Canis lupus familiaris: one gene and its partners. The protein of the gene in region 7 interacts with the protein of the main gene of each other region in a pairwise test. Links are inferred from orthologs where the notes say so. Each region holds a gene or a part of one and is shown on either strand. Other genes may lie near its edges.

Region 1 (4,057 bases), on a different chromosome or scaffold from region 7:
AGAGGTAAGGAGGAGTACGGGGCAGAGCGAGAGGGCAGTGGGGGGCGCAGCAGGTGGATGATCGGTGGTGGGGTGGGGGGTGCACTGTACCAGAGCAGGAGGGCAGTGGGGGATGGCAGGTGGACGGCCGGGGGGCGGGGGGGGGGAGAGCAGTGGGAGTGGGGGTGCGGCAGGTGGACGCCCCGGGGGTGGGGGCGTGGCGGGGGGCAGTGGGGGGCGGCAGGTGGACGCCCCCGGAGGGTGGGGGCGTGGCGGGGGGCAGTGGGGGGCGGCAGGTGGACGCCCCCGGAGGGTGGGGGCGTGGCGGGGGAGTAGTTGGGGGCGGCAGGTGGACGCGGGGTGGGGGGGGCGTGGCAGGTGGACGCCCCGGGGGTGGGGGCGTGGCGGGGGGCAGTGGGGGGCGGCAGGTGGACGCCCCCGGAGGGTGGGGGCGTGGCGGGGGAGTAGTTGGGGGCGGCAGGTGGACGCGGGGTGGGGGGGCGTGGCAGGTGGACGCCCCGGGGGTGGGGGCGTGGCGGGGGGCAGTGGGGGGCGGCAGGTGGACGCCCTGGGGGTGGGAGCGTGGCGGGGGGCAGTGGGGGGCGGCAGGTGGACGCCCGGGGGGAGGGGGGGCGCCTAGGCAGGAACGCCCGTCCTGGCCCCGGTGTTCGTGCTGCCCACTCGCACGCCACTGCAGGGCCGCAGGGGGCCGCGCCCCGCCTCGGGATCGCGGGTGCCCGCGCAGGCGTCACGGCCCGTGGACCGGCCCTCGCGCCACAGCGGGTACTGCCGCCGCTCCGTCTGCCCGACCCCCGCGCCCACACATCCGCGTGCAAAAGCTCCCGCGCCGCGAGGATCCGGGGCAGCCGCAGGGTGAGCCGTCGCCTGCCCTCCGGGACCGGGAGCCCTCGGGTCGCCCGCCCCAGGCCCCGAGAGGCGGAGGGGCCGGAAACTCCTCCGGCCACGTGATCGGCGCGGGCCGGCCGGCGAGCGTGCGCACACGGCCAGCTCGGGAGCCGTTTCGCGGGGCGGCGGCCCGGAAGGAGCGACTGCGCAGGCGTCCGCCGGGGGCGCGCGTGCGTGCGGCGCCGGGAGGGGCGTGGCGGGCGTGGCGTCTGCGCAGTGAGCGGCGCGGGGGCGGGGCCAGGCGTCAGCTGACCGAGGCGGCGGCGGCGGCGGCGGCGGCCTCGCGGGGACAGCAGTCGGCGTCGCAGGCTCCGGCGCCGAGGTCCCGGGCACGTCCGCTCCTGGTGGGCGAGGCGGGGCCCGCGAAGCACCATGGCGACCACCGTCAGCACGCAGCGCGGGCCGGTGAGGCTGCGGGCAGGTGGTGGGCGGCGGGCGTGGGCTCCGGAGCCTTCGGGGAGGCCCAACGACGGGCTCCGGGAGAGGTGGCGGCGGGGCCGGGCCCGGACGGAGGAGGGTCCCGGTGCCCCGGGTGGGAGCCCCGGACAGTCCTCACACGGAGAAGCCCCGCCCAGCCTTCCCTGTACGAGGAGAATCCTGAACCCCGGATGCTCCCTGTGCTGCCTCCAGGCTGAGTAAGGCTCCCAGGCCCTGCTGTGTCCCCACTTAGGGGCCACTGGCCGCCTCGTCAGTTTTTCATTTGCAAGCGAGTGGGCGGGGGCCGAGGACCTGGGCGAGTCCTTCCCAGTTCTCTCTGAGCTGCGCGGATGCGGGAGAGTGTAGACTGGCTGAGGATGGCCTCGGGGTAGGGGGCCTCCCTGCAGCCCCGGCAGCCAGCTCCTGATGCAGCAGCTCCTGACGCGCAGCGGGGGAACGTTCTGGTCCTTTTGAGCAGGGAAGAAAGGTTCCTCGGATGCGATGCTTTCCTGTGCCTTCTCTCAAAGTCAGCCGCCCACCGTGAGCTCCCCGTTACCAGGGCCTCTCACCCGTAGAGCTAAGGGAGGATCTTTTCACAGAACGCTTTTCCTGAGTTTGAAAGGAAGACCCAGATTTTGTCAGCGTTCCCCTATGGGCACAGGTGCCCTTTCTGAGGCCTTTGAATGGGACCTGACACGCACTTCCTGTCGGACTTCAGTGTGGAAACATGCCGGAGCCCGTGGGGGAGAGTTCTGGACTCATCCTCGTGGCTTCCAGCTCTCCCATCTTCACAGAGAATTACAGCAGGTCCACTGCCAGCAATTTCTCATGTTTATGCAACTGGCTGATCCCAGAAGCAAGGGAACCAGATTAGCAGCTCCTTTATTTGTCCTCCCACACCCCCGCCCAGGAGCAGTGGGCTTCATAATCTGGCAGGACAGCCCCCTCCCTGGCCTCCTGGGAGCTCAGTGCCCTCATGCAGAATCTCACTGGTGGCATGGGCCTGAGTGTAAACACGCACAAAGCTGGGCTCCGTATCTGGTTGAAGGGAGCCTCCGTAGAGCTCAGCTGGTCCTGTTACTGGGGCAGCACTCAGCTCTGTGACAGCATAAAGCTGAAGCTCCTGACACTCGGGAGTGAGGGAGTGCTGCTGGTCTGACTTCCTGAGTGTGGTATGGCTTTATGTGCACATGGTGGTGTGCAGCACCCATATGGCAGGAGTGGCTCAGGGGTGCCCTCTGTGACCTGTAAACGTGCAGTGACATTAGGTCTGGTCCGGAACTGCGGGGTGGCTCTGGGAAGGGGACATCAGTGTCTGGGGTCTTGAGTGCCAGTGAGGTCATGTGACCTCTTGGCTAGTGTTATGATGATGGTATTTGGGGCAGCACCATACAATGAACAGGCAAGTGTGGTGCCTGCTGTCAGGATCTCCCAGTGCAGCCCGGACAACAGCCCACCAGCATGACCGCACAGGTGAGCTGCATGCTCAGAGCTCTGGGTTGTTTTTTTTTTTTAAAGATTTATTTGAGAGAAAAAGTGTGTGAGAGAAGAGTGTGTAAGCAGGGGAGGAACAGGAGGAGAGGGACAAGCAGACTCTGCCCTGAGCTCAGAGTCCGATGTGGAGCTCAATCCCATGACCCCAGGATCATGACCTGAGCTAAAACCAAGAGTCAGATGCTCAACCTACTGAGGCACCCGGAGCTGTGGGTCTTACCTCAAGAGTTAGATGTGAAGATGGCCTGTCGGGGGCCATGGTTGAAGTGGGTAAGGTTCTTCTAGGAAGAGACACTTGAAGGAGTGGGTGTCATAGGGCTGGGGCTGGAGCGCAGGCGGGCCTGGAAGGAGAGAGGGCAGGTGGGCTGCAGGAAGGCCAGGGAGGGTCATGCGTGTCATGCCTGTGCCAGTGCGAGTGGCAGGTATGGCCAGGGCACTTTTCCAGATGAACGGCCTGCAGGCAGCAGATGGACTGGGTGCTTGAGTTTTATCTAGTCACTACAGTGACAATGTTTTTAGAAAGCTTTTTGCCTGGCACAAGGCCTCTTCAGCGTCCCCTGCTGCTCTCAGAACTAAGCGATCCTTGTAAGGACCATGTCATAGTTGATCGAGTCTGGTGGACCTTGTCGAGCCGAAGGTGCCCCACATTGACTGTATGCTCCATCCCTGCGGGTGGTGGAGGAACATCGGGTGGGGCTCTCCTGGGTATTGGCACTGTGCCAGTGGGCCCCGTCCCTGCACACACCACGCAGGCCTCCACTGGGGCTCCAGGGAGCCCGGAGCCTGGACTCACTCACATGGGGCGTACTCTGAAGTCTGACCACTGCCTCCCACTCACCACCGAGGAGTGACAAGCAGCATCCTTGGGGGTGTGAAGGAGGGAGGGGAGTCTGCTTGGTAGGGGAGACGGGGTGTTTCCTGTGCCCTTGCCCACAGAGGCCTGAGGGGCTGGGTGGGGAGGGTTGAGGACAGGGCAGTGCTGGCCGCTCCCCTTGCTGGGGCTGAGATGGTTGTTCTTCCCCAAATCACCACTGAGACTCATGCCAGGCCTGTGCTGTCTGTTCCCCTCTAATGTTGCTGGTATTCTTGAGAGGACATCCTTTTCTGTCCAGGGTTCTGTCCACTTCACAGACTGTTCAGAAGCAACTGCTGGGCCACAGGAGAAGTAACTGTGTGGAGGCCCCTGCCTGCCTTGTTCAAGCCTGGGGACTTTGTGAACATGCTGCTTTAAACCACAGCAGTGCCCAATCAGCTCATGGGG
Region 2 (2,439 bases), on a different chromosome or scaffold from region 7:
ATTCATTTCAACGCCTTCATTGACCATTCATTTCGATGCCTGAGTGGCACGGTTGGTTAAGTGGCTGGCTCTTGGTTTCAGCTCAGATCATGAACTCAGGGTTCTGGGATCAAGACCTGCATCAAGTTCCACACTGGGCTCTGCGCTTCCTTCTCAGCATGAACTCTACCTCAGGATTCTCTTTCTCCCTCTGACCCTCCCCCAGCTCACTTGTGCTCTCTATAAAATAAACAAATCTTTAAAAAAATTAATCCACAATCTAATTTTTTTTTTTTTTTACAATTATAAGATTATTAGTTCAGACAGTGGTCTCAAAATGTGATGTAGATATATAGTTCAGGTGGGGATTATAATTAAGATTACATTTTTAACCAGTTTTTAAAACAGAATAGCTATAGGGGCACCTGGATGGCTTATTCAGTTAAGTGGCTGCCTTCTACTCTGGTCATGATCCCAGGGTCCTGGGATCTACTGGCCTCAGCCTTCCTGCTGAGCAGGGAGTCTGCTTCTCCCCTTCCCCCTTCCCCCTGCTCCTGCTCCTGCTCTCTCACTCAAATAAATAAAATCTTATAAAAAACAACAACCAAAAAAACTAGAGTAGCTATAGATAGGGAAAGAATAAAAAGGAGACTTTCCTATGAGCCCAGTGGCATTTGTCTTGCACACTACCAAAAAGAATTCTTTTTTTTTAATTTTTATTTATTTATGATAGTCACAGAGAGAGAGAGAGAGAGAGAGAGAGAGAGAGAGAGAGATTGAGAGAGAGAGGCAGAGACACAGGCAGAGGGAGAAGCAGGCTCCATGCACCGGGAGCCCGACGTGGGATTCGATCCCAGGTCCCCAGGATCGCGCCCTGGGCCAAAGGCAGGCGCTAAACCGCTGCGCCACCCAGGGATCCCCCAAAAAGAATTCTTTAACCAAGTGAATACTATGAAATATCTCGAGTTTAGTTGGACTTACTATGTATTTATCACTTCATTTATTAATTTATTCCAACACATATTTACTGAACTCCACCAGTGCATTCTGGAAATTCGGTGAGCAAGAGGACTGAATAAGAGCTAACAACCTCAGAGCATTTCTTGGTTTTATAAAGTCTGCTTACAGAGAACTCTATCTAGGGTCTATAGGACCCAGGGCTTTGAAGTCACTGCAATGCTTTTTTAGTAAAGGGTCACACTTTGAAGGGATCCCGTCCCTATATTCCATGACGTGAGAGGTTTCTTAAGCAGCTGTAAAGACATCTAACGCAAGAGCAAATCAAATTAACGAGCTTTTTGTGGTGTCAAGAATGAAAATTGGTGCCAAGAATGAAAATGAGGGCCTTGTGCTTTTAACCACACCCCATAGGCAGGGTATATAAAGAAGGTTCTGAGACTGGAGAATCATCACACAGAGGAGTCACCTTCTCCTGCTACCTGAGCCCTCCACTCCTGACACCATGCACTGCAACAACTTCTCCGGTGCTGTCTTCCCAGGATGCTACTGGGGCAGCTTCGGCTACCCCCTGGGGTACAGCGTGGGCTGTGGCTATGGCAGCACCTACTCCCCAGTGGGCTATGGCTTCGGTTACGGCTACAACGGCTGTGGGGCCTTCGGCTACAGAAGATACTGGCCATTTGATCTCTACTGATTTGCTGAAATTGCCGAGGCATAGAATCTTCTCTCCCAAGGTTAAGAGGCACCCTCAACGTTCCTCCTTTGCTCCTTGACCTCCCAGTTGCTGCTTCTCAGACCTAGTACCAGAGTCCAGAGGGAAAGAAATGAAAAAGCAGACGATGCCTTACCTGCCTTCCCTGGATGATGTTCTTTGAGACATTTTCAGAAACTTTATACCCAAACATGTATTTCATCTGAATTTTTCACCATGCTCACGACTCTTGATAAAGTTGTGGATATGTGTGTTGAATTCTCAATAAACTTGTCTCAGCCAGCATAATACTCTTACTTGAGCAGAGTTTCTTTTCTTGGCATGTGCATATTTTCTGTTACATTGAATGGGGAAGGAAGTGGATTTATTTTTTCTCACCTGGGCTTTAGAAGCAGTAAGAAAGCAAATAATCCTTGATCTAGTGTGATAAATAGGCAAGAGGGGGCTGCTTGTGAGGAGGAAAAAAAGCCTGTCTTAACCTTTTACCTCTGACATCACCTCCAATCCTTGGTCCAATGGTACACCATTCAGTGCTTGGTGTTTCTCATCTCACTGCTTATTCCCTCCTCAAGGAAACCCAACATGGGGAGGTGGGGGGCTTTTCAGTTCTTTCCATATTAGTGCAAATGAAATCCACTGTGTTCCTGCTCCTGGGGAGGAGAGAGTGTAGAATAAAATACCATTTTCCCTATTAAAAGATTCTGAAGCCTCAAGTCATAGAAAAGCTATAGACATATTTTAGGAGTCTAAGAGTCTTTTAGGGGAAGGGATTATTCCATAAAACCTAT
Region 3 (3,500 bases), on a different chromosome or scaffold from region 7:
GAAGATCAAGAAGCCTGGTCTCAGATCTCTGATCTCAACCCCATGAGACAGACACACTACTCATGGCCATGAGGCTAACTGCTCATTGTTTTTCACCTGCCTTTCTTCTTGGACAATTTATTCTCAAGTATAAACCAATAAGCTTATGGATCAATTTTCCTTTAAATCTCATTTGATTACATAAATTCAATAAAAGGGTAACAATTCTTACTGAACTACTCACTGACCTCCTGAAGGCAGCAAGGGCAACAACAGCTGCCACACCTTAGTGGTCTCTCCAGAGTTATAACTTCTTGGCCCATATTATCAAGAATCCTTATGGTAAAAGGCCTAGAAGCTCCACAGCAATTTCGGGTACAGAAATCCGTATCCTCTGCTGCAAAGTAAATCCTCTGTCCAAAGCTGTTCTTAATTTCATATTTGTTATTAGTTTCAAAACCTGTTATGACTAAAAACATAAGAGAGGGAATCATTATGACCATTATACTAAAAGAATATCGAATCTATCCTAAGATACTATATCCTACCATTTGTAGATCATACTTTAACAAAAAGGAAAGGTGTTTAGAGATGATCTAGATAGAGGATAAAAGATAAAGGGAAAAAAGAAGGAGAAGGTATTAAGGAACAGAGAAATTAAAGTCTCTGTGTAAGACAGGGAAAAGAAAACTCCTATCTTCTTAATTCCATAGTCTCATGTCAGAAAGACAGACTGCTTCTGAGGGATGGTACAGTGATGTAGATGGTCATAGCTTGCTTTGTGCATGCAGAAAATATCCACTTGCTTGGTATAGTTTTCTAATATTCAATTATATAAGGGAATATAGGATGGTTGCTATGTTCATACTCTATGAAATATTCTGTTGAATAAATTGGCTTGAGTTTTTTTATATATAATATTCATGGCTTATGTTTTTGCACTGTGTGATGGTGAGTAATGACAGGGCTTACTCTTAATGCACACTTGTGCATTAAGAAAGGGAGGGGGTTAAAATGGAGGGTGAATTAGAACATCACATTGGGCTCAGAGCACCCTGGTTTAAGATTTGCTCTACTGGCCTTTGCACATTTTTTAATCTCCATATTTATGAAAAATGTCTAAATTGTTAAGGAACTCTTTCTTAAACCCTTTTAAAAATAGTGGGTTGGATGAAGGAACACAGCTCTGATCAGTGGTGCAATTTCCAAATATGAGTAGCAATGCTGCCAAAATGGAAAAAAAAAATGGTTTAGCTTAGCGGTAGTTATTCAGAAGTGGGTGATGGGTATTAGACAATGGGAAGAGGTGCTTCGCAACCAAGGCTGCAACTCAATAGGCTATCTAGACCACTGGCATCCTACGTAAATTCTGTACTCTGGAGGAGGCTAATCTTTTCACAAGGGGACAGAGGTATGCTAAATGCTGATGTCCATGTGACATCTTACCAATGGGCTCCTATACTGAATCACACATTGCAAACCTCTCCTTGCTTAGAGCCAGGGGAACATTAACAGTCCTACTAGTCTACAGTCCTCATTAACGTGGGTCATGAGATGCCAGAAAGCCACCAATATATAATGAATGATAGAGAGATACATATGGAGACAAAAAATATTCTCTAATATCTGTGTGGATAGACTTAGTCAGATATAGATGTCCTTCATAAATTCTATGATCATGGCCTCTCTTAAGTATCTTAGCTGGCTTCAGCCAGCCTTTGGATTTTTAAAAGAACCACCCTTGACCTCAACATCTGCCAGTCAAGTGCTGTGTAAGAAAAAAATTAAACTGATTCGTAACATGGAGTCTGTTATCTAAATGTTTCATTAGCTAGCTTAATCTCAAATTCTTAGCTAGTTTATCTGTAAAATGAGATGAATGGGTTTACACAATCTCTAAGTTACCTTCTAGTTACAAAATGAGAATGAAATAAGACTTCTATGGTCATCATTACTGTCTATAAAGTTTTGAATTGGGAAGTGTGTAAGTGCCTGTCATACACTCAGATGGTAAAAATAAATGGAATAATCTCCATCTCTTTATGCTATCATGTTACAATATATACTTTCATTGAGATGAAGAGAAAAGAAGAAAATTGAAGACATCACTATTAGAAAACTGAAGAATAACTATAAATTTTGAACTTACTTTACCTTTCATGATATGTATAAAACTTATACATTTAAAAACTATAAATGGGGAGTGCTTTATGATGTACAGTATCTGGTTTGGTTTGATTTTATGACATCAAAAATAAATTTCTTAAAACATTAAAAAATTCAAAGTACTAATTATCAAGCAACAAAGAATGCCTTTCCAGGGAAAACTTAGTATTAACTAAAAACACGCATATTATAAATATCTAACAACGTACATTATAAGCAATTTATTACTTTTTTTTCATTATAAGCAATTTAAATAAAACAGGCAAAACTAAATCTATTATTCTGCTCTTACTATTCATAGTTATAATTTCTATCATTGGAAACAAACTTTGCAGAGAGATGAAGGACTTAACAGATATATTATAAACTCTAGCTGAGCGTTCATTACTCTTTATATCTAGAAGAAAGACACCATGGTTCATGAAGGCATCTAGGTTCTCTTTCCCCTGGTAAGAGTCTTGAAGCATCTGGTGGCTTCTTAAGTTTACCTTGCACCTCAGGAGTGCTGTACCCAAGGAAATATTTATTTGCCATTCACATGAGCAGGAGTGCTGTTTTAAGAAGCCAGGCCTCCAAGCCTACTGATCAGCATCCTCCAACAATGCATTAGCCCTGCACCCAAGGTGATAATCCACAGCCCACAGAACAAAGGTCTTACAAGGTTCATATGAACTCCTGATATAAATTGTTGGCAAGAATACATTTTCCAAAACATACCCATCCAAATTGAAGGACTTTCCTGGCTTTAGAAATGTACCAAGGTAACTGAACTAGTGCATATGGTTCTGTGTCAGCATCAAGATCATGTCAGGCTGGAGAAAACAGCTGAAATGATTTCTAGAGGGAAGTGGGAGCAAAAGTACTTTTGATGGGCTTCCTTCTAAGTTGGCATGAGGATGGATGCTCAGAATAATGGTGTTTTACAAGTTGACTTCTAATTTCCAGAAATGTGCCACTGATAATTGCCATCATTTCATTATCATGAAGAAAGACATTTGTAAATAATCAGATTTAACTGTTCCACATCAGTGAAAGTGTTATATTTGTGGTTGCTGATATGCTTTTATCTGTAAAAACATCTTCTTTCTAGAAATATGGTCAATAAAATGAATACATACCTTCCAGAAGCTCAATTTGCTGATGAATCAGTATTTGATCTATCTATTATAGTAAAAAAAAAAAAAAGACGATATTTTCATTCTTTTTATACCAAAATTAATATTTGTGTTTTCTATTTTAAGGAACGTATATAATAAATTGTCAATATTTATCAATATTTAATAATATCATGTCTTACTTCTAAACTTTTATACCTAAAGGTATAAAATTAAAGTTAATATATCTTTAATTGAAAA
Region 4 (3,969 bases), on a different chromosome or scaffold from region 7:
TGGACCCAGTGTTTTCTGGAGGTAGTGGCAATAGGTGATTCAATATTGAACTTTTAACCAGAGTAAGGATTATTCTTATTATTGAAAATTTTGGGAATCCCTGGGTGGCTCAGCGGTTTAGCACCTGCCTTCAGCCCAGGGCATGACCCTGGGGACCCCGGATCGAGTCCCACGTCGAGCTTCCTGCATGGAGCTTGCTTCTCCCTCTGCCTGTGTCTCTCATAATAAATAAATAAATAAATAAAATCTTAAAAAAAGAAAATTTTGTCAGTTGTCATTTTCTTGGGGGGGGTATATACATATACAAGAATGCTTTCTAGATGAATTTACCTTTATTTGTTAATTTGAGTATAGCATGTAACTCTTTGGATACTATTCCGAGACAAAAATGATTCAGATCTAAGATTTTTTAAAATCTCGAAATCGAAGTATGCCACTTATAAAAATGAACTTTTTACTCAACATGGTATGTTAGAAAATGGTAAACCAGTATGGCAAATACATAACTGTTGGCATCCAAGAGTCAAGGCACTAAGGGTTAGGAAGGTATTTTAAGGGCTAAATCAATAAGGCGAGGTGACAAATTTGGATATGTGGGGTTTGGCTGAAATAATGCAGTTCTTCGGATGACTAGAGTTAAAATTTCTTTTTTTTAAAGATTTTAGGGCAGCCCCGGTGGCTCGGCGGTTTAGCGCCGCCTTCAGCCCGGGGTGTGATCCTGGAGACCCGGGATCGAGTCCCACATGGGGCTCCCTGCGTGGAGCCTGCTTCTCCCTCTGCCTGTGTCTCTGCCTGCCTCTCTCTGTGTGTCTCTCATGAATAAATAAATAAAATCTTTAAAAAAATAAAGATTTTATTTATCCATAAGAGACACAGAAAGAGAGAGGCAGAGGGAGAGGGAGCCCGATATGGGACTCAATCCCGGGACTCCAGGATCACGCCCCGGGCCAAAGGCAGGCTCTAAACCGCTGAACTACCCAGGCGACCCTAGAGCTTTAATTAGTAAAAAGTTACTGTCTCTGAGCCGGTTCACATCACTAACCAGCTTCTGATACGCTGAAAGCCAGAGCAATAAAGTATTGTAAAAGCTTGCTAGAGAGGCACAGGAAGTTGCCTGTAAAGGGGGCGTGGCGTCGGAAAATAAGTTTCCGCCAAACGAAGGAAAATAGCGCTTCCGGTTACGCCATCGTTGTGTCGGGGCTTTCTTCACTGAGGTGAGTGGAAAGAAAGAGGCTCATAATTTTCACAAGTGAGTCTCCAAACCCTCCCGGGAAGCTTTCCTCCTTGCTTCAACATGGGGTGGAAAGATTTCATCCCCAGAGCACATTGTGTGAAGGATGTTTCTGACGCTTATGGTTCCGGTCGCCTGTCTACCTATTCTGAAGATGGCAGGCTGTCCTCCCTCTCTATTTTTGTCCTTTTATCCCTGGTCATTCTTCACCTCTCCTCGTTACCCCAGATCCTCTTCCTGATATTTCTGAGCCTGGGCCATTTCCTCTACCACAGATTTTTTTCCTACCTCTTAACTTCCACCTTCTTCCCCGGCCCCTTTTAGCCTCAAAACTTTTGCAACCCCCTTCTCCCGTTAGGAATCTACGCCCTTCCTTTTTCTTCAGCTCCAGTACTTTACTTTCCACCCCCCCCGCCCCTCCTGCCCGCCTCTTTCAGAGTCCTTTGAATTAAAAACTTGCCAAAACCAGGTGTGACTTCAGTTTCAAGGTCAACTCTTTTATTTCCTTAAAATAAGCAGTGGCAGAAATTTTAGTCCTAAGACACAGGAGCTTGTTCAGATTATTATATTATTGCTGAGTTTATTTTTACTCTTAACCAAAATGATACATCAGAAACTGCACTGATTTTAACCCTCCTGACATAAAAAAAAAAAAAAATTGGCACAGAACTCAATCCCCACTTTTTAGAGGAGCAGTCATAGGGGTTTTGCCTGTAAAACTTGTGTCAATTCTTGATGGTCGAAGCTTTCCCATCTCCTTTAGAACTTGTCATAGGACAGAAATGGTTGACGGATATGACATCCAATCACAAATTTATTTTTTCATATGAGTTATGCCTATTCAAATCTTTTTCTGGTCTTTGGTGGCAACATTGAACAGCAAGCTGACAGATTTTCAAAGTTTTCCTGGGAACTTCGCAAGTATTCTCTATTTCGTGCAAGGTGAAATATATTTTTCTGTTCCATTCATCATGTTTACTTTGTCTCGTGAGAACGTTAGTTAATCACAATTTATTATTCAATTTTTTACCCAAGAGAGGGGATATGATCATTAAACTTAAAATGAGTGTCAGGATTATTCAGGCTCTAAAGAGGAATTTATTCACCAAGAATTCCCTTGAACAAGCAATTTATTCCTTTCCTCCTGTAACTAGTGTGTTATACTTGCCAAAATAAGACGTAAATCTTTTTCTGGGCTAGGTGTAATTTTCAGTTCGTTTAGAAAAAAGTCAGGCTCGACTTCATGATACTAAAACACTTAAAAACTTTTTTGAAGGGTATTGCTGATGTCTCTGTATTCTCTAGTCAAGTTATAGTAACACAGCATTTAAATATCCCACGGCTTCAACCCAGTGTGCAACCATCATTTATTCATCTAAGAATTTTTTTATTGAATAACTTTATGTGTCAGACAGTGTTAAGCACTGAGGATACAACAGTGGAAAATAAAAAGCTTATTAAACTTTAGTTGAGAGACAGTAAATGAATATATAGTAAATATGAGTAAGTTGTAATGGAGAGGAGATGTAGTATTTTAAATAGGGATGGTGAGGAAGGCTTCCCTGGTAAGGCAACATTTGAGCAGAAACCTAAAGGAAGTGAGGGCACGAACTATGTACAGCTATTAATGGGAAAAACAGGATATATCTTATGTTGGTGTCTCTGTATTTGTTCACTCTGCTTCCACACCCCCCTTGCCCATTGTCACTTTTTTGCATGGCTTTAATGTAGCACTCTACATACTGAAATAACCTAATCCAGGCACATACATTTCCCATATTCTTTTGTTTTTTAATCTTGGCGAGCTTCTTGCTATCAATTAGGTATGTTGTTAGTTACCAGCCCTCTAGGAAGACATGTCTTTACATACATTTAGGTATGTTGTTAGTTACATACCTAATACGTCTAGAAGACGTATCTTTACATCCATCCTCACGTCTTCTTCAATCTTTTATCCGCAGTGCATTGTGTGCTATCCTACAGCATATTTGCTTACCTCTCTCACTGCTCTTATCACTGTGTGCTCATGATATGTTGCCCATAAATGTTTGGTATGTTAAATTGGAGGAATTGAGTACTTGTCTGTCTGTACAGGCAATCTTTTAAATATAGTTGGCCCTGGGATGCCTGGGTGACTAGGTAGTTGAGCATCTGCCTTTGGCTCAGGTCGTGATCCTTGGGTTTTGGGATTGAGTCCCGCATCAGGCTTCCTACAGGGAGCCTGCTTAACCTATGTGGTGGTATTGTTTGATCTTTCATTTGTATTCACAATTTATTTGTAATTGATTTCTTTGTATGTTTTCAGTATGAGTTATTGGTATGCGTAAAGGCCCCCCTTTTGTACATTTTTTGAAATGGACATTCAAGGGTGCCTGAGTGGCTCAGTCGGTTAAATGTCTGCCTTTGGCTCATTTCATGATCCCAGGGTCCTGGGATCAAGCCCTGTATTCGACTCTTTATTCAGCGGAGAGTCTACTTCTGCCTCTCCCTCTGTGCCCCCACTTCACCTCATGCTCCCACTCTTTAAAAAAGCAGATATTTAATCAACCTAATATCACTATTGAAAAGATAGCTATTTCCCTCCTATAGAGTCATGTTTTTCATAAATCAAATGACTAAGTTATTTATGTGGGTTTATTTCTTCTGAATTTTGTTCTGTTTGGTTAATTTTTCTATCCTTATATAAGTACCACTGTTATAATGGATGTCCTTTTATAATATATATCATATGTATATAG
Region 5 (4,141 bases), on a different chromosome or scaffold from region 7:
AAGTTAATGCTCTTTGGGTGGTAATTCCTGTAAGATAGAAATGATCAAAAGCAAATTTAATGTTGAAAACAGGTATGGTTCCTGAATTTGGCTGAGAAAATACATTTATGTATATTGAAAACAGGATGGGATGCAGTTGTGGTGAGGGTAAAAGTCAAAGGGGTTGAGTGTCAGAGTTCTCCTGGGACGTCTCAACTTGTCAACACCTAAGGTTGTCTTTTAAAGATCACCACATCTTTGGGCCTGGCGTACAGTGATAACTGGACTTCGGTCCCAAACAGCTGCATTTCTGATTTATCTACATCCGTGATTCTCATCCATTCTTTCATCCTCTTTAGAAAGGAGATTTATGCCCCTTGTCCATCCTAATTGTTTGCCTGATATATCTTCTTTTTGGCAGAATTTTTCAGAGAAAAGTTGGTTCCAGCCCTTCGGAAAAAGCAGAAATGTGATAATTTAGTGGTTTAAATCATATGTTGTTTAGCCCCTGGTTATCCATAACTGGAATTTTTAAAAAGCATTCACACACACAGTAAGGAGGGAAAACTCAGCAAAAGTGTATAGAATTACTAAATTCCCTAAAACTATAGTTCTATTGGGAAAAAAAAGAACAGAGAAAAAATCAAATTTAACCATTATATCATAAGTATAACAGTTTCCAAAGTTTTATGAATGAGTATTCAGTTTGCAAAATGATGACAAATTATCTGTTCTTTATGTCAGTTTTTATCCAGATGAGGTTTCATCAAATGGCAAAGTCAGCTATGCTCCTGATTGTTATGACAATTTGAATCCAAGAGGAAAAAAAACACATTTTTTTATGAAGTAAAAAGACCAAATTAAAAACTAAGTTTTATTACCAATAAACTGGGATGGGAGACCGTAAGGTATAAGCCATATTACCCTTCTAGTTTGATATCCATCCAGCTGAAGCTCCTGGCACAACCATCTCTGTCCTTTAAGTAACATTACAGGTGATGTTCTTAAGTTATAATAAAAATACACTCTCTGCTTTGACTCTCTCAGGGAAACAATAAGGACCAAAGTTTGGCAAGAGGCCATGGCCTCCCCTTGAAGGACTCTGGAGAGCCATCAAATGTCCCTAATCCACAGAAAACTCTCACTGAATAGAAACAAACTAGCTTGAACAACTCCCAAAGAAACTCTACTTTAACAGGACTAACATTGCCAGGTCGGCTTTGTCATATTTCTTAGAAAACCTTATGGTGGTGAAGCCTTTTTAGTGAATTCTTCAACTGTAAGATTTACATCGTCTTCATTCAACCTCCATTCTCACCCATGGAATGGAATCTGGAATGTTGGGAAATTGAGGTGGTGGCAGAGAGGGTGAGGGGCAGGCCTGGAATGGTCTTGAAAGCAAGCACGTGGAAGCACTTTGCTGGTCTTCCAGGACACCTGGGGCTGGCCCAGAAGGCGCAGCTGAGGTCTGGGGAGCCTTGTTACCAGGTGACAAATTCTGCTCATCTTTCCAGCAGATTGGATTTGCCCTTTCCCAAGCCCAGAGCGTGGAAACCTCCTTCCCTTAGACTCTTAAATACTCTTGGTATTATTTCTGGATAAAGGAAAAAACACTGAATATGACTTTTTTCCCCCCTCAACTCAACTCTCAATAGCCTTGTCTCACTTCACTAGTTTCATTTTCCCCTTCTTTCCCCTTTTCCCTCAGACACTTGTACCCTCAAGCCATGTGAAATTAATTTTGGATCAATCACTTTAGACACTAGTCTTCAAGTTTTATTAAAATGTTTTTCAACTCATTTCCTTGTTTTTCCCTAAAGGTAAATCACTAAACAAAACACTCTGTGAACTGTAAAAATAATTTGGTCAGCAAATAGCAGCTTTTTCTTCCAGTTGATTTTAAGTGACCTAGAGGTACACCAGAAGCAATACAATGCTTTGTGGACGAGTAACACCTTTGTTTCACGGTGGTGTTCTACAGAGTCCAGCGTCCTTCTTACAGTTCCAGTGCAGGTGGAGGTAACAAGATCTGTCTTTGTGTTTTATGAACTCTTTTTTCTCCAACATTTCATGGGGTAAATGAAAATCATGTCTTATATCATTTTCCACTGACTAACATCACCATCCCCACTGTCCATTCCATAGTTTTTAATGGAAATAACCTTCCTGCATAAACTTCAGTATACTCTGAAACAAACTTCTGTGCTTTTTCTGCATTCTATAATTTATGTGGTCATCAAATGAAGAGGTGCATAGCTTCAAACAACATTGGACACACTTTGTGAACACTTGAAGGTTTTAATGACAGCATTTACATTGTGCATTTGTATAGCACTCTGTAATTGTAAAAGAATTTCAACAAAGGAAGACATTAATTAGATCTAGTTTCCAGTTCCTGTAAGAATGACTTCATCACCTTATTGACTTCATCACCTTTTGCTATTTGTTAATAAACATATTATTGCTTTTTTGGTATCACACTAAAATGTCATATTCTTGTGAAACATTATTTTTTTCACATGGAAAGAAACTAACAGGGTAAATGTCATTTTGTGTAATTTAAAAATACTTTTTTATTTTTTTAATTAAAAATTTTTTAAAGATTTTATTTATTCATTCATGAGAGACAGAGGGGGGGAGAGAGAGAGAGAGAGGCAGAGACACAGGCAGGAGGAGAAGCAGGCTCCATGCAGGGAGCCTGACATGGGACTCGATCCCGGGACTCCAGGATCACACCCCAGGGCCAAAGGCAAGCACTAAACTGCTGAGCCACCCGGGCTGCCTCAAAATACTTTTTAAAGATAATACTCAAAAGACTTTAGGAGACCTTATAACAATGATATTTTTGTATCAAATGTTTAATAACTCAGATTAAGTACAGATTGTTGACTTCCTAGTTTTGTTTAGATTTTTTTTTTTTTTTTTAGGTCGAGTATATGTACAAGCTACATGGCATTATGGACTATTTTTTCTTTTGAAAATTTATTTCAAAGTAGGCATAAAGAAAGGCATAAAGAAAAATATGATGAACATTCATGATTTACCACCTAAGACTGATACTTATAGCATTTTGTCATAAGAAAGATAATGCTGAAGGTCCCATTGTGATTCATCGACTTTGAAAAGTGTGTTTGTAGAATTGGAATTACAGAAGTGGGATCCTCATTAACTCACATTGTCAAGTCTGTTTTCCTGAAGCTTGATGCCTTGTGATGAGAGCTGGAGTCAGTCAAACAGGCAAATTGATATACCCATGTTCTCTCCAGCATATTGCCAATATGCTCTTTGCTGTTTACTTAAGCTCATCATGATTACCTGAAGAATGAATACTTCAACATAAAAAAATGGTGCAAATAACCACTAGTGATTACTATTGGGTACTTCATCTGCCATGATCTAATTCCTGAACTGGCACAAATTTTTTCATCATTTTAGAAAGGTTTGCCACTGCTAATAATTATATAGACTATTTTCTTGTATGGTGAGAAAAATATACATAATTCCTATTCTGTTGTGCCAGTGAAACAATATAGAGACTATAAATACAATTTCCCCTCTACATAAAAAAAAAAAAAATTCAGCAACTTTTTTTTTTTTTTTTTTTTTTAAGGTAGTGGGCATATTTCTAAATTACTTTGAAGGATGAGTATTTAAATGTTAACCTGGGTGCTAGCTCTCTCAGGGAAAGAAATAGGAAGATGAAACAGAGGAACATTCCTAGAAATGAGTGTGTGACCTATGTGGTCCTTACAGTAAATTATACTAATTCTACTTTTATGTTTGTGTGTTGTGATCCTATTAAGCTGATAGAACTTTTCCATTAAGTGGGCAGGTTGATTTCCTGTAGTACTCCTGATTGCTTGATGAGGTGTGTTGTTTTCTTGTGTTTCCATTACAACATTGAGACTAAGAGGGAATCCTCTGTGGTATTTTCACATAGGTTATGAATCTTTTATCTGGTGGTTGTATTTGTATCGGAGAGATGAATATTAATAGCCTCTTGGCAGCAGAGTGACTTTCTTAAAAAAAGGGGTTTCCCTGTGTATGGGTGGATTAACCTTTCAAAATATATGTTTCTACTTAAACCACTTAGTTACTGTTTGATTCAAAGAGTCATAAAGACAACCTCTCCACATCTCTGTTAGACCTTGTAGTATGCTTA
Region 6 (4,122 bases), on a different chromosome or scaffold from region 7:
TTGGACAACTCAAGGAACTGAGGACTTAGTAAAGTTTTTGAATATTCTTAAGCTTTTGAAAGACATAATTTTTATTTTTTTAAAAGATTTATTCATACATGAGAGACACAGAGAGAGGCAGACACAAGTAGAGGGAGAAGCAGGCTCCCCGCGGGGAGCCCGATGTGGGGACTTGATCCCAGGACTCTGAGATCACAACTGGAGCTGAAGGCAGATGCTCAACTGCTGAGCCACCCAGGCGTCCCAAAAGACATAATTTTTTAAAGTATCATTTTTTTTATACTTATGCCTGGAATATACACACCAGGCACTGTCTTGTTAGGCTTTGGGGAAATGAAGAGTACTACACAGAATAGACATTTAAGGAATTCACAATCTGGTGAACTACCCTTTATTTTTTTTTTTAAAGTTTATTTATTTATTTATTTATTTATTTATTTATTCATTCATTCATGACAGGGAGAGAGAGAGAGGCAGAGACACAGGCAGAGGGAGAAGCAGGCCCCAGGCAGGGAGCCCGATGCAGGACTCCATTCTGGGACTCCAGGATCACACCCTGAGCCAAAGGCAGGTGGTAAACCGCTGAGCCACCCAGGAACCCCCCTGAACTATCCTTTAAATAGTAACTACCTTACTTTGGGTAAGCCCAGGGCACCAAGTTGAGTACCTAAAGGGCACCTAAAGGAATCAAGGAAAGGAGAATAAGGGGAGGAACCCTGAGAAGAGGTTCCTTTGCAGTCTGGGAGAACAATGAAGAGCTGGCAGTAGGGGATGATGGGACAGGCCCCGGGAAAGAGCAGACCGTGCAAAAGCTAAAGCAGGCAAGAATACGCTATGGGAAATATAAGCAGTTCGAATTGGTTGGAATACAGAGAGGGGAGGGATAGAAGTTTTAGCAGAGAGCCTTTAAACTGAGGTTTGAATGTCTCAATCAGATTCAGCTCACCCCAGTGACTCAGTTTCTTCAACTATAAAAGGGCTAGTGATGCGAAAGACTAAATGGTATTCATAAATTAAGTGTCTATAATAACAGTGCTCTAAAAAATAGTGGATGGGCAACAGATATATATTCCCTTGTCTTTCTTCCTACATGGGCATGGCAGCAGAGATTAAAAGAATGACCCTGAAAGTTATGGCTGCGTAGATAAAACCCTAGCTCTTCACTGGCAGGTGATGGACAGGTTGAATTCTTCAAACTCCAGAGGTTTAAGTACACAGGAGTAGTATCCACCTTGCAGACCTGCCCCCAGACTGACAAAATAAATCTCCTGGTCTCTCTCTGGCACTCAAGGAAAACTCAACAAACGTTAACTTTTACAATCGCGGTCACAGGCCTGCAAACCTTTATCTGCAGTTCTCGATTTGGAAACTTCTGAAAAGAAAAGGAAAATTCCAGAATTTGGCATAAAACTTAGTTGGGTGGCAAAACGTGACCTGAGGATATTTACAGTTTCCATGAAGTCACGCCTATCCCTGCACCATTATTACCGTAGTCTCAGGGATGCTGCTGGGACCTTGTGAGGGTGACACCTCTGGCCTACGCATCTTACTCTTTCTAAAATCTAAAGACACAATTCGAAGATTGCTGAATTCCAAAACATACCGGCCCCGAGCCTTGCAGTTAAGGAATGGGTCTCTCTCTGTTCCTTCTGGAGAGAAGAAAAGAACATTCTCACACACACAACCCAACTCAAGTCGCTGAGACAAACTAGTTTTAAATAGGAGGTTCAGAGACGCCAGTACCAGAAAAATTCCTGTTGCTGCCCAGTGAATACAGCCGAACAAAGAACTTCTGAAAGCTCTCCGAAGGCTACCTTGGCCTGTAAAAGGAGGCTCCTTTACAGAACATGCCTTCACAACCATCAGGTGTGTAAGAGTGTGTATTTCTTCAGCAGTAATTTTTTTTTTTTTTTCCCGTCAGGGGAATACGGTCTGATGCCTCAACATTAGAAATTTTTAACCAGTAAAAGCACTGCTTTTGGTTTTCGAAGAGGAAACGGCTCAGCTATTTATAAGCTTCCATGCGTAACACAAGCCCCCAAATCCTAAGAAAGAGAGTGTCGCCGAACTCACGGCTTCTGTCATGTGTATTCGTCGAATAGGATCTGTGTAGCAACTCCTTCGGCAACTAACGACCGGAACGTTGTCACACGGCGGACAATCTGATTAAACAAGTGCCAGATTCCTCCAAGGCTGTTCAGGCCCCTCGCTCCCGTTTTATTAGAAATTAATGAATGGGGGAGGGGACCGAGGGGGCGCGAGCCGGGAAGCCTTCAGGGCCCAACGAACAAAGGGAGTCCGGGATCAACCGGAGCGAACCGGCCGCCGAGCGGGTCGCGCCGCCCGGAAAGGGGTGGGGGTGGGGAGGGTGGGGGAGGGGCCGGGCCCTCTCGCCGCCCCGCCCCCAAACCCGGCCTGACGTCAAGTGCGGAGAAACCCGTCCGGCGCGACGTCAGCCGCCTCCGACGCCTCCTCCCGGGGGGCGATCGGGGGGCACCTCGCAGCCTGAGGGAAGATGGCGGGGGCCGACGTTTAGTCCCGGCCCCTGAAGAGGCGACTCGAGGTTCCTCTGTTACCGCGCCCGTCTCCCGCTTGGGCGTGCTCCCCTGCCCCCCTCCACGATACCCACTAGCGCCGAGGCAGCCTCACCCGGCCAGATCCGAGCCCGCAGCAAAGTCTAGAAGCGGCGATGGGTCCGGGGGAATCGGGTGCTGAAGAACCGAACGCGGACTGACTGACGAGCGCGGCGGCGGCGGTGGCGGCGGCAGCAGCGGCGGCGGTGGCGGCGGAGGCGGAGGCGGCGGCGGCGGCAGCGGCAGCACTAACAGCGCGCGGCTCCTCCTGGCGCCGGAACAGGAAGCGCCGAGCGCGCCGCCCCCGCGCGCTCTCCCCCCTCCTCCCCGGGCCGGGTGCGGCCGCGGGCGCCCCCCGCAGGCTTCGCGCTGCACTGCGGCCTGCCCGGCGGGGCGGGGCGGGGCGGGGCGGGGCCGGGCGGCTGCTCCTCCCGCTCGCCCCGGGGCGGCTGTTTTCCTCCCGCGGGAGGGAGGACCGCTCCCCGGTTTTCCGGAATTCTGAGCCCTCGGAGGAAATGCCTGTAGCCAGTGACGTTCTGGGCACCTCGGCGGAAACTGCTAGCTTGTTTCCTGGACTGGTTTGAGGACTGCTTCTGGATTTCCTACGCTTAGAGATTTTTACAGCCGGGCTTGGATGCCGGCTGGCTGTGAATGCGGCCAACCAGTGAATCCCGGCCCTCGGGCCGAAATTGGGGAGCGCTACAGGAGCCATACGGGGAAGGGGGCCCCACATGTTCATCTTTGAAAGAACCTTTACCTACTTTGGGTCAGGTCTGTAGGATGATTGACACATTCCCCCGGCTGTCAAGGAATCTGCCGTAATTATATAGTGTGCAAAATGTATATACATACAGTATGTACATAGATTTTTATATGTAAAACTACACTAGAAATATGCGGTATCAGTACATTTTGCTTCTTTGGGTAACCCCTTAGTGGGTCACTGGGCAGGGGCATTTTATTAGAAACGTCTTAAAGGAAGACTTATTCCTGGGTATGCTCCACCAGAACCCACACTTCTCCTACTGGAAAAGAGGCAATAGAGAAACTGCAAATACCCAAGCCTGGGGAAGACCTATTTTTGGACAGGGAAAATGGTCTATGGAAAATGACATTAGTGTGAACAACTTACCCTGCCGTCAGGAGGCAGTGAATCTGTAATGCCTTATGGAGCTATAAGGAATCCTGAGTCAGCAGACGTCAGTAAAACTATATTTAAAATCTTGACCTGGGACGCCTGGGTGGCTCAGCAGTTGAGCGTCTGCCTTCGGCCTGAGCGGTGATCCTGGAATTCCGGGATCGAGTCCCCCATCGGGTTCCTGTATGGAGCCTGCTGCTTCTCCTTCTGCCTATATCTCTGCCTCTTTCTGTGTCTCTCATGAATAAAATCCTAAAAAATAAAATCTTGACCTTTTTTCATTAGGTTGTTGTTTTAATTCTGATTTTTTAAAAATTTATTCATGAGACACAGGCAGAGAAAAAGGCAGAGGGAGAAGCAGGCTCCCCGCTGAGCTGGGATTCCCAATGTAGAACTTGATCCCAGGACTCC
Region 7 (4,259 bases):
GGGCAGAGGGCAGCTGAGACAAGGGAAGTGGACACACGTGAAACAGGATCCATTAGAAAGATGGCAGTGTCCTGACCAATCACATCTTAAAGCTAGTTCTGCCAACGTGGGTTGTAAAGCAGGTCTATATTCTCTGTGAACCCAAAGGTACAGACAGGAAAAGAGCCTACCACTCATTTAAAGGCATTCTCACCTCATTTCAGGTATATGGCTTTGAGGCAAGGACCACCTGGGCTCTAATTCTTATAGAGGGGGGAGCTAAGCAGGCAACATAACTAAAATCTCTAGTATCTTTCTAAATGCCACTTAATAGGGGACTATGCTTTCTTCATTTTTTTCAGGATTTTAAAAATTATTATTTTATTTAAATTCAAGTTGCCTACATATAACACACAGTGCTTATCTCATGTGTCTTTCTCCATTTTTACTCATCACGTTTTTCTTTTATCACGTTTCTTAATGGAATGCCATACTGAAGGCAAATTTGAAGTAAATGTTACAGGCTGAATAAGGAGTATTACTAGACCAGTACCAAAGTGGAACTGCAAAAGCAGCAGGCAGGACTCCTAATGCTTTAAAGAGGTATAGGAAAACAAAGGAATCTGGTTAACTCAGGCCCCAGGGAATGTGCCAGATGCTACTGACTTGCCACAGTTCTCCTGCCCCCTCAACTGCTTTCTGCCCAACTACTGGATGTCAGTGCTTATACCCATACCACAGCTATTACCCAGGGATGGTGAAAGGATGAATATGTAATCTCTTCAGAAAGTTAAACTACGTAAGAGCTGAGTTGTTCTGATAAGGTCATACTCACAGGAATGTTGCCAGCAGTAGCCCCCGCTCCAAATCTGGCACCTGCATCATACCCTCCTTCCACCAGCACTGCTGAACCAGGTGGATAGATGGGACCAACTGGATAATAAGCCATGGGGATTGTGGAACCTAAAGGTCCAACAGCCACAGATTGGGCCATGGGAAGATACAGTGAGGCGCCAGGAAATGCAGCTGACATGGTGGGGACCGTGGCAGCCCCCGGATGCACGAAGCTCGGACGATAGAGCTAGAAGAGAAGGCAACAGGTTACTTTATGACATTCCGATTTTAGATCCCTTCTACGCTCAATTCTTAATTGTCCTTGTGCAGATTACACTCTTGAGTTACACAAACTGCCTTTCCACTGCCACTCAGTACCCTCCTGCATCACTTCCTGCCATAGCTAACGTGAGGCTCAAGGAACGCAAGCTCATCTTCTTAACCTCACCCGGTGCCAAAAAAAAAAAAAAAAAAAAAACATGAAACAATCAGATGATGCAGTCTCAACCCCAACAGAAATTGCGCTGAAGTGTACAGTGTTTCAGACTATTCACGTGAGCCCTCCCTTCTCCTATTTACGGACACTGAATAGATATGCGTGGACTCAGGCTTATTAGCTAAGGACTGAAGATGTGACCCAAGAGCACTGGGTTCAAGTCTAGTAAACTGGAAGCACCTCTGAGTAGGCAGGTGGAGCATCAGTATAGGGTGGAGCCTGAGGGAGATGCAAGGTCTGAGGGTACACTGGGTTCCCAGGAGGCTGCACGGGATAGGTTGGCTGCGTTGGATATTGACCTGGAAGACAAGAAAGAAAAAAAGAAAAAAAAAGGAAAGAAAAAGAAAATGCATGTTGCCTACCACACAGAGCCACCAAAATGGGGCAGAGCATCCTGGGTAGCTGCCCTAGGGGCAGCAAGCTGGAGATGTGTAGACAGACCGCTCTGGGTGGTGGGGTGGGGGTGGGGGCTGATTTCTGGGGCCGAGAGAATATTCTCTTCGCACCCTTATCCCTACTCCTACCGGGGCAGTCCTCCCACTGGCACACCCGAGCTTCTCCATCGATGCAGGGCAGGTGTGGGGCCCCGTTCCTGCCCGTGCCCAACGGCAGGGACGCGCTGCCCCGGCTCCGGGTGGTCGCCACAGGCCTGGCTGGACCGAGCCGCGACCTCGTTGGGTCACGGAGGTTGCGGGTTATTTGCCCCGCCGCTTCCTACTCAAGGTCGCCTTCCGAATACAGCGCGCGATGGACGTGAGCCCTCGGGACCCGAGGGAGGATAACGGGAACCGTCCTGAGGCACAGCGGAGGACCGTGTGGGGCCCGACGCCGGCACAGTCCCAGGAGCCGGGGGCACTTCGGGCGGCCGCGCGAGGCACGCGGAGGGAGACCCCTCCGCCGCCCCCGGGCCCCCGGGCCCCGGGGCCCGCCCGCCGGCGCCGCACTGGTTAAGCCCGGGCGCCGGCCTCTGGTTCCGGAGCGCGAAGCCCCGCCCCCGCCGGCGCGCCATTGGCCGACCCGCATCCCTGCTCTAGCTCCCCATTTGCTCCCGCAGATGCCCATCATGACAAGCCTCCCCCCTGCACCCCCCCGCCCCTCCACCCGAGCCCGCAGCTCCAAACTGCGCCACAGAGTTTAAGGAGGAAAGGGCCGGGAAGCAGCGAGCAGCCGCAGTTCGGGGATGACGAAGGCGTCTGGCGCGGCCCCCGGGGCCGCAGCCGGCCGGGGAGGGAGGCGCAGCGCGCCCCAAGCCTCCGCTTGGCGACCCCGGGCTCCGGGCCCGCTCGCTCCAGGCTAGCACTGTCCCCCCGACGGCCCCGGCCGCCCCCTGCCCTTGCCTTTGCTGTTCATGGTGGCTGCGGGTCCGGTTCGGCTCGGCGTCGCGGACGGTTATTTTTTTCGTCCTCTTCCTGTTCGTAGTCACTTCCGTGTCACGTGACGGCCCGTCCGCCTCGCGTCACCCGACGCCCGAGCGCCGCCGCCACCGGAAGCCCCGCCCCTCCCGCGCGGCGTCCAGTAGCTGGAGGGCGGGCGCGCGTGGCCCCGCCCCCCCGGCGCGCGGCGGCCCCGCCCCTTGGGTCTCGCCCTCCCACCCCCACCCGCGTCCCACGACGGGAAGAAAACCGAATGCAGGTATTGTCTCCAAACACGGTTGTTGGCTTTTTTTTTTTTGGTTTTGCCTTTGTTTTTTCCGCCCCCCCCCCTCCTCTCTCTCTCTCTCTCTGGGGCGCTCGGGGGCAGAGCCGCTGAAGCCGCTCCCCGGAACCTGCTTCCACCTCTGCGCAGCAGCTCAAGGTGACCTCACCTGCGGAGCGCGGCGGCCCCGGCCCCGGCCCCGGCCCCTGGACTGCGCGGGCTGGCGGCGCCGTCAGTGGGTCCTGGCCGCCTTGCCCGTCCCGCCGGCAGGTGCCCGCCTGCACTTGCGTCGCTGCCCCTCTGCCCGAGGGAGGCCCCGCGCAGGGCCCGGCCTGCCGCCTCCTGTAGCCTCCCTCTCTCTCCCTTCGTCCCTACCCTCACTGTCCTTAAGGGCAGGGGTGCCACCCTCTAAGGCAGCAGTGCCCCGGGCAACCTTCATTTTAAGATACGCCGCCTCTGCGCAAGTACAGAGATGGAGCTAAACAAGACCTTTTTTTTTTTTTTTAAGATTTTTGTTTATTTGTTAACCAGAGACACAGAGACCCAGGCAGAGGGAGAAGCAGGCTCCATGCAGGGAGCCCAACGTGGGACTCGATTCCAGGACCCTGGGGTCATGCCCTGGGCCGAAGGCGGACGCCCAACCGTTGAGCCACCTGGGCTGCCCCACAAGACATTTTTAAAAAAAATATTTTATTTATTTATTTGAGAGAGAGAGAGTGCACCGGCAGAGGGATGGGCAAAGGAGAGAGAGAAGCAGACTCTCCGCCGAGCAGGGAGCCCCATGCAGGGGCTGCACATCCCAGGACCCCGGGATCATGACCTGAGCCCAATGCAGACGTTTAACCTGCTGAGACACCCAGGCGCCCCCAGCACAAGATGTTCTTTTTTTTTTCTTTTTTTTTTTTTTTTTTTTTTATTTATCCATCAGAGAGAAAGAGGCTCCATGCAGAGAGACCAACGTGGGATTCAATCCCAGGCCTCCAGGATCTCGCCCTGGGCTGAAGGAGCCATCCAGCTGCCCAGAACACAATGTTCTTTTTTTTTTTTTTAATTTTTTTTTTTAATTTTTTTTTTTTCTTTTTAAATTTATTTATTCATGATAGTCACACGGAGAGAGAGAGAGAGAGGCAGAGAGAGACACAGGCAGAGGGAGAAGCAGGCTCCATGCACCGGGAGCCCGATGTGGGATTCGATCCCGGGTCTCCAGGATCGCACCCTGGGCCAAAGGCAGGCGCCAAACCGCTGCGCCACCCAGGGATCCCTGAACACAATGTTCTTAATTTGGTTCAGACTAATACTAGTATTGAAAACCCTG

What was found.
Region 1: the proteins of DAZAP2 (region 7) and TOLLIP interact in binary tests that used the Homo sapiens proteins (3 or more experiments, as listed by UniProt). The two-hybrid records come from large-scale screens. The link is inferred for Canis lupus familiaris from reciprocal best matches to the Homo sapiens genes DAZAP2 and TOLLIP.
Region 2: the proteins of DAZAP2 (region 7) and KRTAP8-1 interact in binary tests that used the Homo sapiens proteins (3 or more experiments, as listed by UniProt). The two-hybrid records come from large-scale screens. The link is inferred for Canis lupus familiaris from reciprocal best matches to the Homo sapiens genes DAZAP2 and KRTAP8-1.
Region 3: the proteins of DAZAP2 (region 7) and PLSCR1 interact in binary tests that used the Homo sapiens proteins (3 or more experiments, as listed by UniProt). The two-hybrid records come from large-scale screens. The link is inferred for Canis lupus familiaris from reciprocal best matches to the Homo sapiens genes DAZAP2 and PLSCR1.
Region 4: the proteins of DAZAP2 (region 7) and MAGED1 interact in binary tests that used the Homo sapiens proteins (3 or more experiments, as listed by UniProt). The two-hybrid records come from large-scale screens. The link is inferred for Canis lupus familiaris from reciprocal best matches to the Homo sapiens genes DAZAP2 and MAGED1.
Region 5: the proteins of DAZAP2 (region 7) and TNIP3 interact in binary tests that used the Homo sapiens proteins (3 or more experiments, as listed by UniProt). The two-hybrid records come from large-scale screens. The link is inferred for Canis lupus familiaris from reciprocal best matches to the Homo sapiens genes DAZAP2 and TNIP3.
Region 6: the proteins of DAZAP2 (region 7) and MAPK1IP1L interact in binary tests that used the Homo sapiens proteins (3 or more experiments, as listed by UniProt). The link is inferred for Canis lupus familiaris from reciprocal best matches to the Homo sapiens genes DAZAP2 and MAPK1IP1L.

What each region holds. Positions count from the first base shown.
Region 1 is NC_049239.1:46,023,769-46,027,825, reverse strand, and holds the start of TOLLIP (toll-interacting protein), read left to right. Parts: upstream 1-1,257; coding exon 1,258-1,290; intron 1,291-2,487; exon of another isoform or gene 2,488-2,763; coding exon of another isoform or gene 2,764-2,775; intron 2,776-4,057. UniProt on the Homo sapiens protein: Component of the signaling pathway of IL-1 and Toll-like receptors. Inhibits cell activation by microbial products. Recruits IRAK1 to the IL-1 receptor complex. Inhibits IRAK1 phosphorylation and kinase activity.
Region 2 is NC_049252.1:26,352,243-26,354,681, reverse strand, and holds KRTAP8-1 (keratin-associated protein 8-1), read left to right. Parts: upstream 1-1,401; 5' UTR 1,402-1,441; coding exon 1,442-1,633; 3' UTR 1,634-1,939; downstream 1,940-2,439. UniProt on the Homo sapiens protein: In the hair cortex, hair keratin intermediate filaments are embedded in an interfilamentous matrix, consisting of hair keratin-associated proteins (KRTAP), which are essential for the formation of a rigid and resistant hair shaft through their extensive disulfide bond cross-linking with abundant cysteine residues of hair keratins.
Region 3 is NC_049244.1:42,176,495-42,179,994, forward strand, and holds part of PLSCR1 (phospholipid scramblase 1), read right to left. Parts: intron 3,307-3,500; coding exon 3,264-3,306; intron 449-3,263; coding exon 228-448; intron 1-227. UniProt on the Homo sapiens protein: Catalyzes calcium-induced ATP-independent rapid bidirectional and non-specific movement of phospholipids (lipid scrambling or lipid flip-flop) between the inner and outer leaflet of the plasma membrane resulting in collapse of the phospholipid asymmetry which leads to phosphatidylserine externalization on the cell surface.
Region 4 is NC_049260.1:44,749,736-44,753,704, forward strand, and holds the start of MAGED1 (melanoma-associated antigen D1), read left to right. Parts: upstream 1-1,169; 5' UTR 1,170-1,214; intron 1,215-3,969. UniProt on the Homo sapiens protein: Involved in the apoptotic response after nerve growth factor (NGF) binding in neuronal cells. Inhibits cell cycle progression, and facilitates NGFR-mediated apoptosis. May act as a regulator of the function of DLX family members.
Region 5 is NC_049240.1:19,692,466-19,696,606, forward strand, and holds the start of TNIP3 (TNFAIP3-interacting protein 3), read left to right. Parts: upstream 1-1,341; 5' UTR 1,342-1,365; coding exon 1,366-1,467; intron 1,468-4,141. UniProt on the Homo sapiens protein: Binds to zinc finger protein TNFAIP3 and inhibits NF-kappa-B activation induced by tumor necrosis factor, Toll-like receptor 4 (TLR4), interleukin-1 and 12-O-tetradecanoylphorbol-13-acetate.
Region 6 is NC_049229.1:31,205,140-31,209,261, reverse strand, and holds the start of MAPK1IP1L (MAPK-interacting and spindle-stabilizing protein-like), read right to left. Parts: upstream 2,801-4,122; 5' UTR 2,650-2,800; intron 2,296-2,649; exon of another isoform or gene 2,086-2,295; coding exon of another isoform or gene 2,074-2,085; intron 1,768-2,073; exon of another isoform or gene 1,744-1,767; intron 1,511-1,743; exon of another isoform or gene 1,489-1,510; intron 1,473-1,488; exon of another isoform or gene 1,449-1,472; intron 1-1,448.
Region 7 is NC_049248.1:43,029,511-43,033,769, reverse strand, and holds the start of DAZAP2 (DAZ-associated protein 2), read right to left. Parts: upstream 2,801-4,259; 5' UTR 2,660-2,800; coding exon 2,647-2,659; intron 1,609-2,646; coding exon 1,490-1,608; intron 1,061-1,489; coding exon 892-1,060; coding exon of another isoform or gene 815-891; intron 1-814. UniProt on the Homo sapiens protein: In unstressed cells, promotes SIAH1-mediated polyubiquitination and degradation of the serine/threonine-protein kinase HIPK2, probably by acting as a loading factor that potentiates complex formation between HIPK2 and ubiquitin ligase SIAH1.